Linked DNA regions of Schizosaccharomyces pombe. Changing the gene in region 1 together with any one later gene gives a genetic interaction. Each region holds a gene or a part of one and is shown on either strand. Other genes may lie near its edges. The genes, in order: fip1 and abc3.

The links.
Region 2: mutations in fip1 (region 1) and abc3 impair growth when combined (synthetic growth defect), as found in Schizosaccharomyces pombe (one study listed by BioGRID).

Annotation. Positions count from the first base shown.
Region 1 is NC_003424.3:4,232,696-4,236,624, forward strand, and holds fip1 (Fe permease Fip1), read right to left. Parts: upstream 2,074-3,929; 5' UTR 1,802-2,073; coding exon 608-1,801; 3' UTR 303-607; downstream 1-302. Other genes in the region: Fe transporter/Cu oxidase Fio1, read left to right, coding at 2,944-3,929. UniProt on the Schizosaccharomyces pombe protein: Permease for high affinity iron uptake.
Region 2 is NC_003423.3:120,589-124,517, forward strand, and holds the start of abc3 (multi drug resistance-associated protein abc3), read left to right. Parts: upstream 1-2,053; 5' UTR 2,054-2,158; coding exon 2,159-3,929. UniProt on the Schizosaccharomyces pombe protein: Iron-regulated vacuolar transporter that mobilizes stored heme from the vacuole to the cytosol in response to iron deficiency.

The DNA.
Region 1 (3,929 bases):
AAGCTACAAAGATACGCACATGGCCGATCTGTTAAAGACTAAGTAAAGTTTTTGCTGGTTGTTTTTAAGTCTTTTATTAAAATTTTGCTCATAATGAGTATTACGGGGAACAAATATGGTAAAGATGGATTTGAAGTGTTGTAAGTCAATGCACACATCAAAACAACGGCTTTTACTTGTTAGGTTTGTAAGTGAAGATTAATAAACTAGAAAGACATTTGAAAACTTGACAAAGTGTGAGAAACTTGTACATATACATATACATAAGTGGGTACATATATATTGGTGGATGGATGGATAGATAGATAGATATGCATTAAAGAAATGAATTATTAAAACAACCTGTGCTTTGACTAAATTAGGAAAAGAATAAAAGGGAAATATTGAAAGTTAGGACCCAAATAAAAAAAAAAGAAAATCAGGAAGACCCGGGGGAGGGAAGAATTTACCCATACAAGGTGACATTAAGCAAAAACAGCAAACGAATGCAAAGAGAGATATCAGTAGTGGGTTCATTTGCAAAGAGAAACAAAATCAATTGTAGGGGGAATTTGGGAAAGGAGGGGAAAAAAAGAATAACAAGATTTTTCGTTCAAGCATGACTACTTTAATGAGACTCACGAATTTCATTGATGACATCGACAGTTTTGTCGTCTTTATGTTCTTCGACGGGAGAAGAAGACTCGCGAACTTCGGTAACGATATCGATGGCTTTGTCGCCTTTATCATCGGTAGGAGAATTGATTTTGAATTCATCTTCAGAGGAGGAGGATTGCACGGGAGTGTGTGAAGAGGCAGCCTCCAAGTCGACAACTTTGTCGCCGAGCTTGGCAATAAGGAGTCTTGCAGCACGACGTTCCTTGTACCACATGAGGAACATGATGAAGGCTACGAAAAGCCAATAGATGATGTAGCTAAGGATGGAACCATAGGTACCAGTGTTGTTCCAACCTAGAATGGCATTGAAGATCATGTAACCACCATTGGAATTCATCTCTGGATTACCATAGTTGACGTGCCAAACGGCGGATTTGAAGGGATAGGAACCGGGACCATCACCGAGCTCACCAGCATCACCACCAGTTTGATGATTCCACTTATTCATTTCAAAGTAAAAGGTGGCCTTGGACATAAGACCGGCGGAGATAAGGTAGAGGATACATGTTGAGGCAATCAAGAACCATTGCAAGTTCATCACATTACCACCACGATAGATAAAGTAACCGATAAGACAACCAACGATGAGACCGCAAATGACTGGAAGAGGGAAAGCGGTGGCAGGTGTTTCCAAACCGACACCACCGACAAAGACGACGACTTCCAAACCCTCACGCAGAACGGTGAAAAAGGGAAGGAGAAACATGGAATACTTTTTACCCCAATTGGAGATACCTTTGGCCTTGCGATTGGCGATACTTTTCATAAGTTTCTTGCGCCATTTCTCCTGTAAATGCGAGACACGAAGCATAGCGAACCCCATTACGGTGATCAAGACGACAGCGATGAGAGAGAAGACACCTTCCCAAATTTCTTCGGAACCACTCCAAATATCTTTGTCGAGGGCATAAAAAGCACCGATAAAGCCACCGCCAATGGCTAAACAAATGAACAAAGCAGTAAACGAACCGATCCAAACCTGCAGCATAAATTTTCGCTTTAGTTTTGGATCCGTCACGTTTCCATCTTTATCCATGAGTGTTTGGGAGATGAAGGACATCAAGACTGAGACGATGATGGAAGCCTCAAGGGTCTCACGAAGGACGATGAAGAAGATAGCGACGGAAAAGACGTCTTTTGCCATGGTAGAGAAGGTGGGTAAAAGAGAAGAAAAGAAAGAAAGAGAGAGAGAGAGAAAAAAATAAAATGAAATAAATTTCAAACCTTTTCAATACGAATTGTATCCTTCCACAATTTGTCAACGGGTATAGAATGCGATGCAGTGCGATGCCTTTCAATTCAATGCAATGTAATGTACTTTGAATGTGCAAGTGTACAGTCGTTTCAAGCGATCCACTACAAAACTCAAGCCACAGGCCAATGTCCTTTGTCTCGTTCCTTTCACCGCGTTAGGGCAAACAGGCCGGGGGGAAGCATGCCCTTTTAATCTGTTTGACCCACTTCTTCCAGGCATCTGGATTACATCTGATAACTTTTGTCCAGATTGGTAGATAAGCAACCGATCAAAGTGGACACCAACTCCGACCCCAAAACTGTCCTATCTTGCCTTACCCTAAGGAGCATATCTGATGAATTATTCTGTTGTCAGAGACAAACTGGTCAATCTCATTTTTATCCGATATGGCGTCAAGAGGAGGGTGCGACCCCACCCACACCCTCCATCCTATATATACTCGGTTGGTGGGGCGAGCGGATTTCGATTTTCTACGCAAAGTACCGTAACTTAACTTACCGTAGCGTAGTGTTTGACTTGTGTTTGGATTGCTTTGGTGCTCGACTCGTTCACATATAGGCAGGTGAGAAGATTTTGCGAATTAAGGATTTGACGAACCGATCCATTAAAGTTGGTTAGAAGATCCACAATAGCTCACTAAGTGGTTGCGAATTTAGTTGGGTGCAGTTCGATATCGTGGTATAGCATCGTATCGTATCGTATCGTATCGCCATAGAAGAAAGCTGGTGGTTATTAAGTTGGGGGCCTTTGTCAGTGTATAAAGATATCAGATCAAGAATTTCAAAAGGCAAAACAATAGCTGGTCAAAGCGACGTTGAAATCGCAAGTCAACTTGTTGTAGGTTTTGTTGAAAAACGACTTGCTTATAAAGCCATCACTGGACAAACGGTAGCGATAAAAGTACACCCCCTTTCTTTTTTTTTCTGCTGTTTTTTCTGCCTTTCTCTCTCTTTGTTTTCATTTCTTTTTTTTCTGTTCTTTTTTTTTTTTAATATCTTTCCTTATTCTTCTTTTCTCTCTTGCGCGCTATAATGAATAAATTTTTCTCCTTCCCCATTCTCGGCCTTCTTCTTACATGCGTTCGCTTCGTCGTCGCCAAGGAACGCTTGTTTGAATGGAATGTCACAGACGTTTACGACGTCGACCCTGATGGATCGGGAAATTCCCGCTGGGTCATTGGTGTTAATAACAAATGGCCCATCGATCCCCTTGTCGTCGACTATGGTGACCAAGTCATCATCAAGATGACCAATTCCCTCGCCAATAATCGAACTACTTCTTTGCATTCTCATGGCTTGTTTCAAAAGTTCACTCCTTACATGGATGGAGTGCCACAAAGCACTCAATGCGAAATTCCTCCTGGTGCCACTTTTTACTACAACTATACCGCTTTGCAGAATGGCACCTACTGGGTTCATTCTCACGACATGTCCCAATACCCCGATGGCCTTCGTACCCCTTTTATCATCAACGCGTTGGAGGAGCCATACGATTACGATGAGGAGTATATCATTTCCATGACGGATTGGTACTATACTCCTTTCAACATTCTCGTGCCCGATGAATTTAAAACTTGGAAAAATCCCACCGGTGCCGAGCCAGTCCCCGATACCGGTCTTTTCAACGATACTGCCAACGCTACTTTTGCCATGGAGCCTGGTAAGACATATCGTTTGCGCTTCATCAACATTGGCGCTTTCAACAACTACGATGTCATGATCGAGGATCACAACATGACCATCATCGAAGTGGACGGCGAGTACACAGAGCCTCAAGAGGTTAGCTCCATCCACCTTACAGTCGCTCAACGTTACAGTGTGCTTGTGACAGCGAAGAATTCCACCGATCGCAACTATGCCATCACCGCTTACATGGACGAGTCGCTATTCGATACGATTCCCGACAATTACAACCCCAATGTAACGGCCTGGCTTTCTTACAATTCAGATGCTTCATACGATCTAGGGCCTGACATTGACGAAATCGATTCCTACGACGACGCAGAGTTGAATCCTCT
Region 2 (3,929 bases), on another chromosome or scaffold:
ATTACAGCTGCATTCGGTAAATAAAAATGAAGTTCGGTAGGGAATTCTCTCACATAAGGATATTGAGGAGTAAGTAGTAGGAAAAAGCGGATGATAGCATTGGAAGGGATAATAAATTTTTGTGGGAAATGAGGGGAAGAGGGAAACGAGCAACTGGGGAAATTGATAGGAAGAACGTTGATGGTATTGTTAAGTGAATGAATAGAAACTCAGAGACTCTCACAAATCATTTAAAAAAATTTTCACTAGTCGAAAGTTTTTACGGTATTATTATTTTCATCTTTTCAAAGCATTATCCCAGTCTTACCACGAGATGTTCCTACATAATATGCTGCGCTTTTCATAAAAGCACATATCCTGCAAATATCTCTTCCATTTAAGATTATTTCGTTTATGCCTTACCCATGGATCTACGATTGATATCGAAGTTTGATTGAATTATGATTTCTTTGATACAATCACGAGTTATGTAAATGATATCTGTTGTGTTCTCGTTTTAGTATATTGGGTTTAACCTTTTCAAATTTGTTGCTAAATTTATATGGCACAGATCAGAGGTCGAACCCTTTTATTATTGAACTACTTCTTCTTCGGCAGCTCTCTAGTTGAGTAGCTGGCAGTTATGCTTACCATAATTGATTAGACATATCAATGAACTTAAGCATGTAGCGGTGCTCGACCGTTCAGACTAAAATAACAAGGTAGGGTCATTGGAGAAAAAATCATAAAGAAAGACATTTCGATATTTTGCAACGTCGGGAAGCAAATTGGCTGGGGTAATAACAACGACCGTTCTCATTAGTTTGAACTTATTAAAAAGGGGAAATAGTCATTGAAGCACTTAGTTTTTGTTTTGAATGCTAAAATGGTATAATACGTCTGTCTTACTAAATATAGCTACCAGTCTATTTATATCAAACTTATAAAAGCTAACAAACTAAGATCTTCGCATTTCAAGCAGAAAATCATTGATTTGTAATATATATTAATAGTATTTTTGTCAATTTGAGTATTGTTTACTATTTAAACTTTTCTTGAAGCAATTTGAAGATCCTAAGTTACTAACTTTTGCTAATAAAAAATAAAAAGCTTAGGAATATTTACACAAACATAGAATCAATTTCTTTTCTTCTTTTGTTTCCCATTTTTTTAAATTGAACAAAAATAGGGAAAATCTTAAAGAAAGCAAGCAATTTATTATGTTATCGAATTATCAAATATTTTTTACTTCTTCTTCAGCATTATAATTTCCTAACTAGTTTTGTTTACAATCAAGAATATAAAATTAATGCAAATGATCAAAATTTGCATTCGTAAGAATTTTTATTCAAGTGAGTTCAACTAATTGTTGTGAGGCCTAATTTATGTTAATCCATACTTCACAAAGATGACAATCTTCGAATAAACAGCTGAAATTATGCTTCATTTTATATTTAGTTTGTTTTTGATTTTATTTTGGAAAAGAATTATAGTTATAAAATTTTATATACTGGATACTTATACTTTTCCTAATCTTAGGACTTCCTTTGTCGTCTTTTACCACCTCAGTTAAGGCTTTGCTTGTTGACATAAAGTATTATTGAAACTAGAGAAAGTACTATAGACGAGTTTTTCTGTTTTATTAACTTCGAAATTTTTAACGTGATAAACATTGCTAAGATGCGCAAAGTTTCACTTTAGATGGAACGCTAGACATCCAGGTGCGTTTATAAGACGAGAATCATAACTATAGTTTATATCTAAAAGTTTGATATTTCTAAAATGATATCGTTTCATAAAACTACAAAATATGAAAAAATCTCAGTAGGTATTCTTTCAAGGTCTTCTCTTTTATTGATTACAGAACACATCTACAACAGTGAATTAGAGGTTTGCTTGCCCTTCCTAATGGACTGAAGACACTTGACCGGTGTCGAATCTAAACTCCGAGTTCAAGAATATTTAACTCCGATTAATTTATCAGATGTTATTAAGCAACATAATGAGATTCAGCGCAAACGTTATTAGTCAACTACCAACACTTTTATAGATGGTGATCTGATATCCTAACATTAACTTTATTTTGAATCCTACATAGCGCTCCGATTACTCTACTTAGCCCTGTATAGAAAGACTTAAGCATCGCTTTTAATAAAGTATTTGGATAAGTATACATGTAATGATCACCGCAAACAAAGGCTTGTCTCTGGTTTTGCTTATCCCAAATTTATTCGCTTTAGTTAGCGGGGGCTTACAATATGTTTTTGACGTTAGGAGACGGATCTTTCGTCCTCACTTTTCGCAATTTTGGACCATCTGGATGAAGTTCTTTTCGATAGCACTTGTTATTATTACACAAATATATGTGGGATATAAGACAAAAAACATCGGGTGGAATTTTTTTTCAGTTGTAACTTATTGTTTCGTATTATTTTTACAGTTTGCTGAGCAATCAACTCTAAGAGTTCCCATGGCTTCTCTATTGATATTTTGGCTTCTGAAAGTAGTTACCTCACTTTTGATTTTGTTGTTCAGTCCCTATATTGCAATTACCAGTATGGCTCGGTTGCTTACTTTAATTACTCTGTTCTGCTCGCTCGTATGCTTTATTAGTGAGGTTTATGTCCCGCCTTGCAATCGTGTCTGGTATTCTGATGATACAAACGAAGTTGAAGAGAAGGGGATAAGACCTTCTGAAGTTCGATATGCGAACATATTCTCAAAGTTATCATTTTCTTGGATCAGTTCTTTCATAAAATTTGGTTACACTAACTATTTAAAGGAATCTGATGTTTGGCTACTTCCTCCAGATGAGCGATCTGGCAATTTAATAATTGGTTTTGAAGACTGGTGGATATACCATTCGAAGAATAAACGAAGAAGTCTGTTTTTATGGAAACTTTTATTTTTTAATCATTGGAAACTTGTAGCTCTAATTACCATCACAAAGTTGATTCAAGATGTACTTGCTTTTGTTCAGCCAACATTGATTCAGAAAACCATTCTCTTTATTAGTTCTTATACTTCTCCCAATCCTGAATCCCCAAGTAGAGGTTTTATAATCGCTATCTTGGTTCTTGTCGCTAATTTCCTCCAAACTTTATTACTACAACAATATAATCAGCTTATTATGTTGCTTGGAATGAGATGGAAAACGGAACTACTTGCATCTATTTATCGTAAATCTCTTCTTCTATCAAGTTCAGCACGCCAAAATCGATCTATTGGTGATATAATAAATTACATGGCTGTCGATACTCAAAAAATAAGTGATCTGCCGATATATTTATTCATTATTGTTTCAGGTCCATTTCAAATTGCTTTAGCTCTTTCAAATTTATACCACCTTATGGGATATAGCGCTTTTACGGGTGTCGCTGCATCCGTTATACTATTTCCATGCAACATTATTGTCGCCAATGTGTACAAGAAGTTTCAAAGTATTTTAATGAAAAACAAAGATTCCCGTTCCAAATTGATGACCGAAATTATCAATAATATACGCAGTATTAAACTTTATGCATGGGAAACCCCATTCCTTCAGAAGCTACTGCATATAAGAAATACTAAAGAATTAAGTATGTTAAAAAAAATTGGTTTCATCACTGCAATTGGTGATTTTGCCTGGATTTTTACTACCATTATTGTTACAACTGTTGCTTTTGGAGCCTTTATTATTTTCCATGGGAAAACTCAAGCTCTCACTGCGGATATAGTATTTCCTGCTGTAAGTCTTTTCAACCTGTTGCAATTCCCATTGGCCATGTTACCCACAGTAATTAGTTCTTTGTTGGAAGCATCTGTATCCGTTTCTCGAATATATGAATTTCTCATAGCACAAGAATTGGATTACAATGGGGTACAACGATTTCCCGCTACAGAGATTCCTCATGAAATTTGTCTTGAAATTAAAAGTGGCACCTTCAGTTGGTCTAAAAAAACACTAAAGC